2 linked regions of the Coturnix japonica genome follow. The protein of the gene in region 2 interacts with the protein of the main gene of each other region in a pairwise test. Links are inferred from orthologs where the notes say so. Each region holds a gene or a part of one and is shown on either strand. Other genes may lie near its edges. The genes, in order: AGGF1 and MAB21L3.

Region 1 (3,822 bases), on a different chromosome or scaffold from region 2:
TATGTAACTGAAGGTGGATCTGTTGAATACATTAAAGATTGTTACAAGTGTTAGGTATTCTAAATACTTAAAGTATACTAATACTAATTTACCTAGGTCATACACAAACATATAAAGTACTGTTAAAGTGTTAAATCATAATCTGTAATCTAGGTATCTGTGGCTTTGGCCAGTTTTTCCTCTCATTGGCTTCCTTCTCTTGTACTCACATCACTTACATAGACTCAATTTTCCTCCAGACTTTGTACTCAAATTGGAGATTATTAATCCAGTATCTCTCATCCTCCATTGTTTCCTAACAACCGTGAATATTACTGTCAGTTTCTACTGTGATTAAACCATTTAAAAACTTCAGACTACTTCACCGATAAAACTGATCTGAGGTTAGTCCTACTGAGATTACTCCCCTCCCACTAAGACTTCTGAAACATTTAAAGTGAATCATTGCTTATAATTAGACATTTTGTACTGCAAATGCATTTCTATTTCTTTGTACTCTAAGCAAAAACCAGAAACACTTACTGGATCCTTCATACCGCTGCCATCCTTGCCCAGACCTTCCCCTTTTTTCCATCCCATTTTCTCCAACATTTTGTGTCCTTTGTTGCTATCGCTGATTTCACTGTAAAGAAAGTTTAAGACTGATAAGCAAGAGTCAAAATATATGCTCTGTACTGAAATACTGAAGGATATGCAACTCTAGAAACCAGGACCCAACCACTCTTCCATCAAGAGCTACCCAGAAGGACCTGCTGCCTTCTTTGCAAGTTCCTGAATGCTTTGTTCAATTTTGGATCCCTCTCTACAAGGACATCCAGTTGCTCAAAAGTGTGAAGAGCAATGGAATGGTGAAGGACTTGAAAACAAAATTTATGAGGAGAATGGGAGGAAACTGGGGTTGTTCGGTCTGGATGCCAGAAGGAGACCTCAACTGCTCTCCACAAATATGTGAAAGACTGCAGAGATTTTGCTCTTTTTTCTCAGGTGACAAGTGACAGGATGCAAGGAAACAGTCACAAGTACTGTAGGTTTAGAATTTCTTCATGGAGATGGTGGTTAAGCACTGTAACGGGCTGCCCAGCTGAGAGGTAGAGTTCTCATTCTTGGAGGCATTTAAGAGATGCAGACATGGCACTAACAGACATGGTTTAGTCAGGGAACCTGGTAGGTCTGGCTGAAGGTTAGACTTGTTCATCTTGAAGGTCTTCTCCAACCTCCATGATTCTATGCTATTCTTCTCATAAATATACCAAAGCTATTCCAAGACTCTGGTCAATACCAGCCTTCTTAATTCCACATTCTATTTGCTGACTTTGGGACCTAAAAGATACAGCACAGGAGGGTGGGAATCAACTGCACTAATGAGAAGGCAGGACCACTGCTTCCCACGAAATCACTCAACACACATTTCATTGTCTCACATTTCCTTTTACTAACTTACCAGCACCTACAAGATCATGTTTCTTTAAAACAAGATAGCAACTAGAGAAGAAATAATTAAGAAGGAAGATTAAAATAAGTGTGACTGAAGAGGTAAAAATATACATACACTAAGAAATGCTGGATGAGTGAGCAGTAAAAAGAAATTATGCATAGGCAATCTTGCCTATGTGCCATTACTGGGATGAGACAAAAAACTGAGGCTATTCAAAGTGTCAGAGATGTCAGTAGTGCAATTGCTGAGTTCCATATCTTTTGAGATAGGACAGTGATTTAGCCATCATAACAGCCAAGCTGAATTCCGTAAGGAAAAGCAAGAAGTTAATATGAACTGGGAAGTGAGAATAGCTGTTTTCTAGTTCTCCTAATACACTGTATACAGGTAAGATAACGAACTGTATCTTAATAAGTAATTGATATTTACTGTAGTTCTGTACTATTCATTAGAGGACTCTGAAGATTTATTTATTTTCAACATCCACAAACTTACATATGTACAGAAGCTGGAGTATCTCCCCTCTGGAAAGTTCCTTCACTTCCAATGGTCTCTCTGCGTTTTCCTGCCCTGTCTTTGTACTTTGGATTATTCACTGCTTTGTTGTCCTCATACTCTGTATTCTTTAAAACAAAATAAAGACAAACAATATTTAGATTCTTTATTTCTGATGACCTCCCTGCTCTGTCTTCAGAAATCTGTAAATAATGATTTAGTGTACAAATGACATGCTTGAGTTAAACCACGAGACTCATGACTCCGAAAGCTTTCTTTATTCACTGAAATTTACTGCTTAAACAGGAATCACAGGGTAGGAGTAGATCTCAAACACTTAATTTTCTGTAAACTCACCTGTAAACCATATTTGACCCGTATTTGTTTTAATGCTTTTCTTCTGACCAACTCTCTCTCTTCTTTGCTAAGTGCTGGGCAAACTAAAAGGAAGAACACAGGATTCAATTTCTAATTAATAGTGTAACTCTTTTCCACCATAAGACAAAATTTTATTCTAAGATTATTACACAGACACATGCCAAAAAGAAAACATATTATTGTCTATTTCAGAGCTATTCTCAGTTGAGAAGAAAATCGTAACAGAACTCTGATATATATACACATATTATTTATAAGATAAAAATCAATGATAATACTAAAAAACCCCCACCATATTCAAAGATAAGGTAACTAACCAGAAGATTCTTTTTTCTTATCCAGGCGAAGATGTGCTCTGACTTGACCCGGTTCACATCCATCACAAGTGTCACTGCCAGGATGTATATGAAAAGAAAGCACAGTTTCACCAATCTTCACTTCATCACCGTGCTCCAAGATGTATGGATCACATTTCGTTTTAGGCTACAGCAAAAGAAAGTTTTGGCAGCCATAGTTATTAGTTACTAATGCAGGGCACCAATGCTATTACATGAATACTGCTCATAATTTACTGATAAAGTCTGAAGTAACAAATGCAGGTAAACGTTTAAAATACAGTGGGTTCTTCACTCTAGCAACTCCAACAACAGTAGATTTTTTTCTAATTCCTAATATAAAGCCAATGTAAAACATAAAGAATGGCCCTAGGACCTGAAGGAGATTGAAGAACAACAATATTGTTAGCAATTTGCCATGACACATTTAAAATAACCACACAATTAGTTTTCTGCAATGTACACAGCACCGTAGCAGCAAATACTCACCTGTAAAATCTGATTTCCATTAACAACTGTTCCATTCTGACTGCCTTGATCCACAAGAACATAATTTTGCAAATCATGGTCAAAATATATTTCTGCATGGAACTGATAAATAGAAAAGTGAAATGTTCTCATTAAGCAAATACTTGACAACTTAAATACTGTTTTAAAGTAAGATTTCAGAATGTATTTGCGAGCCTAAAATATATAAATATACAAATATATAAGTATAAATATATATATATAAATATTGAAACATTATTAGCTATGCTATTATTAGCTATGCTAAGAAGCAGAAGGGAAAATATAAAAACTCTTTGGCTGTTTTATAACCCAGTTTCATATACAAGCCAGAAAATGTCATCAATAGCAGGAAAAGATTATCTCTAAAAAATTTTCAGTATAAAATGTTACGCTGCTTATTAGTTAGAACTATCACCTAGAACAGACATAGCAAAGCTTATTTAAGATCCATGCATTTGCAGGTGTTTTATCGACTTTTTTGTTAAGATTATAGGTCTTAAACTTACACTGAATTAAGAGAGCTATATTTACTGTATTTACAGTCTGTGTTGCAGTAGTTAGCAAACTTGAGCAAATAATTTATTTTTAATCCTTCTTAATTCTATAACAATGTAACTTCAAAAAAACTGGTATTTTCAAACGCTCTGTACATCACTTATACATTCATAC
Region 2 (3,822 bases):
TTGAAAAAGTATTCTCCTCCTATGCAACACCCCAAAAAGACACGGGCACTTTAAACAACCACCATCCATGTGCTAGGTTGCACAGCAGGTAGGTAGCAGAGTGAGACTTCTTTGCACCGTCTTTCTGCTTATGTGCCACGAGATTGGAGACAGAGAATAAGGCAGTTGCTGCTCTGACTGACACAGGGTTGAGTTTCACAGGCTGTAGCTTCTAGGCAAGCTGTTGCTGTTGAAAGCAAATTAGATAGGCTGGGCATCAAGCAATGCCTTCCATCAGTTTTCTCCACCCACAGCTGCAATCTTGACATTTTGTTCATTCCATCAGTGCCAACTGCCTCAGAAAGCCAGCTGCAACACCTCCTGGAAGGACAAGAACACCATCAATGAGGAGAAGAGGTGGGGAAACTGCTCAAATTTGAGGTGAGGAAGCTTTCTTCAGCCTTAATCCAAGCAGAAGGCCGGGTTCTCTAAGAAGACAGCAAGCTTGCTGGCCACCGTGTCCAGGTCACTGGTGTTGGCATATTTGAGCAGATTGGTGTTCTTGACAAAGTAATGCTTGAGGAAGTGCTGGCTCACACACTTGTGCAGCTTCTGCACCAGCCTCAGGAAGGCTTCGTGAAAGCAGCGCCAATCCTTGGTGCGTGGGTATTTTTCACACGTCCAGAATAGCACTGTCTGCAAGAAGCAGATGGGAGAGAAGAGGTGTTAGAGGTTCTGCCGAGGGCTCACACGGCTTGCTAAGGCAGTTTAAGTGCTGGTAAGTGGCTGACAGCCTTGGAAACTGGAATGCCTGGCACTGCAGTCTTCCTGCATTAACGATTCTGCAACAAAGGGATCACAACCAACAACCTAAGGGAGAGCCCTTTCACCTTCCCCTGGCTGCCCCCTTCCCTTTGCCTTGCAAACCTCACTGGACACACCAAGGATCCTGCACAGATGGCCAGAGCAGGCAGGGAAGGAGGATTTGCAAAGGCCAGGGACCTCCACAGAAATGCCAGGTGTTTTAAGCTGTAGAAAATGGTCTATTGTACAAGTGTAGAAGCCAGTAGGTGCAAGGAGGGAGAGAATAATAATCGTATGAGCATAGCTGTTAGCTTCAGCCATACTTGTGCTGAAGATGCACACAGATTTGCTTTCTGAATGTACTGGGATTCCAAGCAACTCTTGCCTGTTTTCTTCCGACACACAATACAGCATGTGTTATGATCTCTTTCTTGCAGTTTATTTCATGTAATATGATAGAATCATAGAATGGCTTGGGTTGTAAGGGACCTCAAAGACCATCTAGTTCCAACCCCCTACTGTAGGCAGTGTTGCCAGTCACTAAATAAAGACCGACCAGGAACCCATAAAGCCTATCCTTGAATGCCTCCAGGGTGGGGCATTCACAGCTTCTCTGGGCAGCCCGTTCCAGTGCTTCACCACCCTCTAAGTGAAGAACTTCTTGCTAACGTCTAACCTAAACCTCCTCTCTATCAGTTTAAATCCATTCCCCTTTGTCCTATCACTATCTACCTGCATAAAAAGAAAAATCAATAGATAAAAAAAATGAATTCCATATGATTACTGCTCCCATGGTATTATTTTTATCCTGCCCATACTGCATTTTTACAGATGTTGCTATGTTTGTGAAGAATTTTTTTGGAGGTACTTACAGTTATTGTACTAAAAAAAGCAATATTGACCATCTTAATCAACCTGAAAATCATTTCTAAAACAAAAAATTCACTAATCTTGGGTGCAAGAATCCCACTCAGTTTCTTAGTGTTCTCTCTACAGGCAGTTGTTACAATGAAGTTTCCAGAGGTAAGGAAAATAGTGCTGCTATTCCAGTCAGGTCTTTCAGACTTCCTAATTATGAACATCATTCCCCTATAACAGATACTGAGACTGTATCTTGATATCATAGTGATGCCTACCTGAAGGTGATAAGCTGTGATGACAGGCTTATTTCCAGCACACCAGACATCCTCCTTCATCTGTCTCATGACTCTGAAGCATTTCATGCGGCAACCACCATCTTCGTCGAGGCCTTCCATGAGCATATGCTCAGCACGGGAGAAGCACAGCTGCCAGTGATAATTGGAGCGGGCCAAGAGGTCAAAACCAAGTGACTGTGGACAAAATGGAAAGTGTGACGCTAGATCGGAGAGGCAGATTTCTCTGAGTAATGCAGAGGGATGTTGCATGCTAGCAGAGGCAGCAAACATGGTTAATGCTCCCATTGTAACTCCTGATTGATGAAACAAGCAATTTGTTTTGTTTCCTCATGTGGTGACATTGGTTACTCCCAGGAGATTCAGCTCTAGAGGTGCCAGGTGCAGTACAAACAGTGCTGCTAAAGCTGAGGCACAGCTCTACAGGCACTTTGCCATGGAGCAGCAGGTCATGAGCAAGTAGGGAGCCAGACTGGAAGTCAGAACTCGATGTGTGAGATCATGGCAAGTAGAGCTGATCTGGAGTGCCAGAATCTAGCCAAGGGGAGGAACAGGAGAAGGGCAGAAGGAAAATGTTGAGATAGTGCTCCACTTGCAGAAAGATCACATGAGACAAAGCAGAACAGCAAGAAAAAATGCACTCAGTTAAATGGCCAGAGCTATTTGCAAGAAACTCATGTAACAGACAGTTAAATCAGTTTTCCCTCCAGAGAATTCACCATCATTAAGGAAAGAAATTCTCAATAAAATCCAAATAATTTGAAATATTTCTTCTCTACAGCCTTCCAAACCACCATCACATACCTGCAAAGGAAATTTCTGCACAGACCTTACAGTTGTCTTTAGACTGCTCACCTTGACGCACTGCACTTTTTCCTGGGATGGCCAACGCTTGAGGCAACGAGGCCACCGAGCTTTCTCAGGCCAGCAAGTTGGAATCTCCACCGTAGGGGCCAGCTCCACCTCAACCTGGAATTTTGATGTTTCCACAGCCACTCGCACAACTGAGCTGAAGCTCTCCAGCACCGTCACTTTGTCTGTCAAGGAACAACGTGAAAGGTGATAAAGGTGAATAGGTCCTCTCCTCAAGCCAAGCAAGGGGCTGCGTAGTGCCCATGTCCAAATTGAGACTTGCAGTTCCATTGCTGTCTTCTCTTCAGTGACATAGTGGAACACAAGAAAAAGCTTATTTCAATCTGCCCAGAGGTAGGAGGACAGAGGAGAAAGTAAATATGGGCAATGCTGGTCCAACTGTGTGCATGGAAGAAGCTTCTGTCCCTGTCATTCAGGATGGATCACTGTTCCTTCAGCTTTGCTGTCTGAGCCAATGATGTGATCATGCTTTAACCCACTGAAGTAAATACAAAGCAGATTACCATAAGCAGTTTAAGTAATTGTGTGTTAATCCACCTCAATTCGACTGACACTGGCTAGGAATTCCAGTTCCAAAAGGAGTCCATGCAGCAGACTTGAAGGAGCAGTGATGAACATTTAGGATGGTAACAACTTCTGTTTTCACAGAAGAAATATCCACTGAGTGCCATCAGAGGAGGTGAAATATGTTTATGTTTCAAGAATACAGAAGACCCATATCAGGCTGCTGATGGGTAAAGACATTCTGGAAACACGATGTGAGAAAAGGCACCATAGTCTGATCTTGACCATGTCACAGTATCTTAATGTGAAAAGATGAACACAAACCGTTCAGCTTGGATGAAGCCATGTGTTCATTAGCTGAAGTCTATAACATGCCTTTAGGACGCTCAGAATTAAATATGAGGATCACTGTTTAGGCAGCATTTTGCTGCAGATGTCGCAGCTATGAAGGTATGTTGCACGCACCACTGATTGCATTATGTCAGCACTTCCAGTACAAATTGCTATA

The links.
Region 1: the proteins of MAB21L3 (region 2) and AGGF1 interact in binary tests that used the Homo sapiens proteins (3 or more experiments, as listed by UniProt). The two-hybrid records come from large-scale screens. The link is inferred for Coturnix japonica from reciprocal best matches to the Homo sapiens genes MAB21L3 and AGGF1.

What each region holds. Positions count from the first base shown.
Region 1 is NC_029547.1:11,956,166-11,959,987, reverse strand, and holds part of AGGF1 (angiogenic factor with G patch and FHA domains 1), read right to left. Parts: intron 3,235-3,822; coding exon 3,133-3,234; intron 2,792-3,132; coding exon 2,626-2,791; intron 2,371-2,625; coding exon 2,288-2,370; intron 2,059-2,287; coding exon 1,931-2,058; intron 623-1,930; coding exon 523-622; intron 20-522; coding exon 1-19. UniProt on the Homo sapiens protein: Promotes angiogenesis and the proliferation of endothelial cells. Able to bind to endothelial cells and promote cell proliferation, suggesting that it may act in an autocrine fashion.
Region 2 is NC_029516.1:71,932,171-71,935,992, forward strand, and holds part of MAB21L3 (protein mab-21-like 3), read right to left. Parts: intron 2,975-3,822; coding exon 2,793-2,974; intron 2,115-2,792; coding exon 1,920-2,114; intron 676-1,919; coding exon 442-675; 3' UTR 1-441.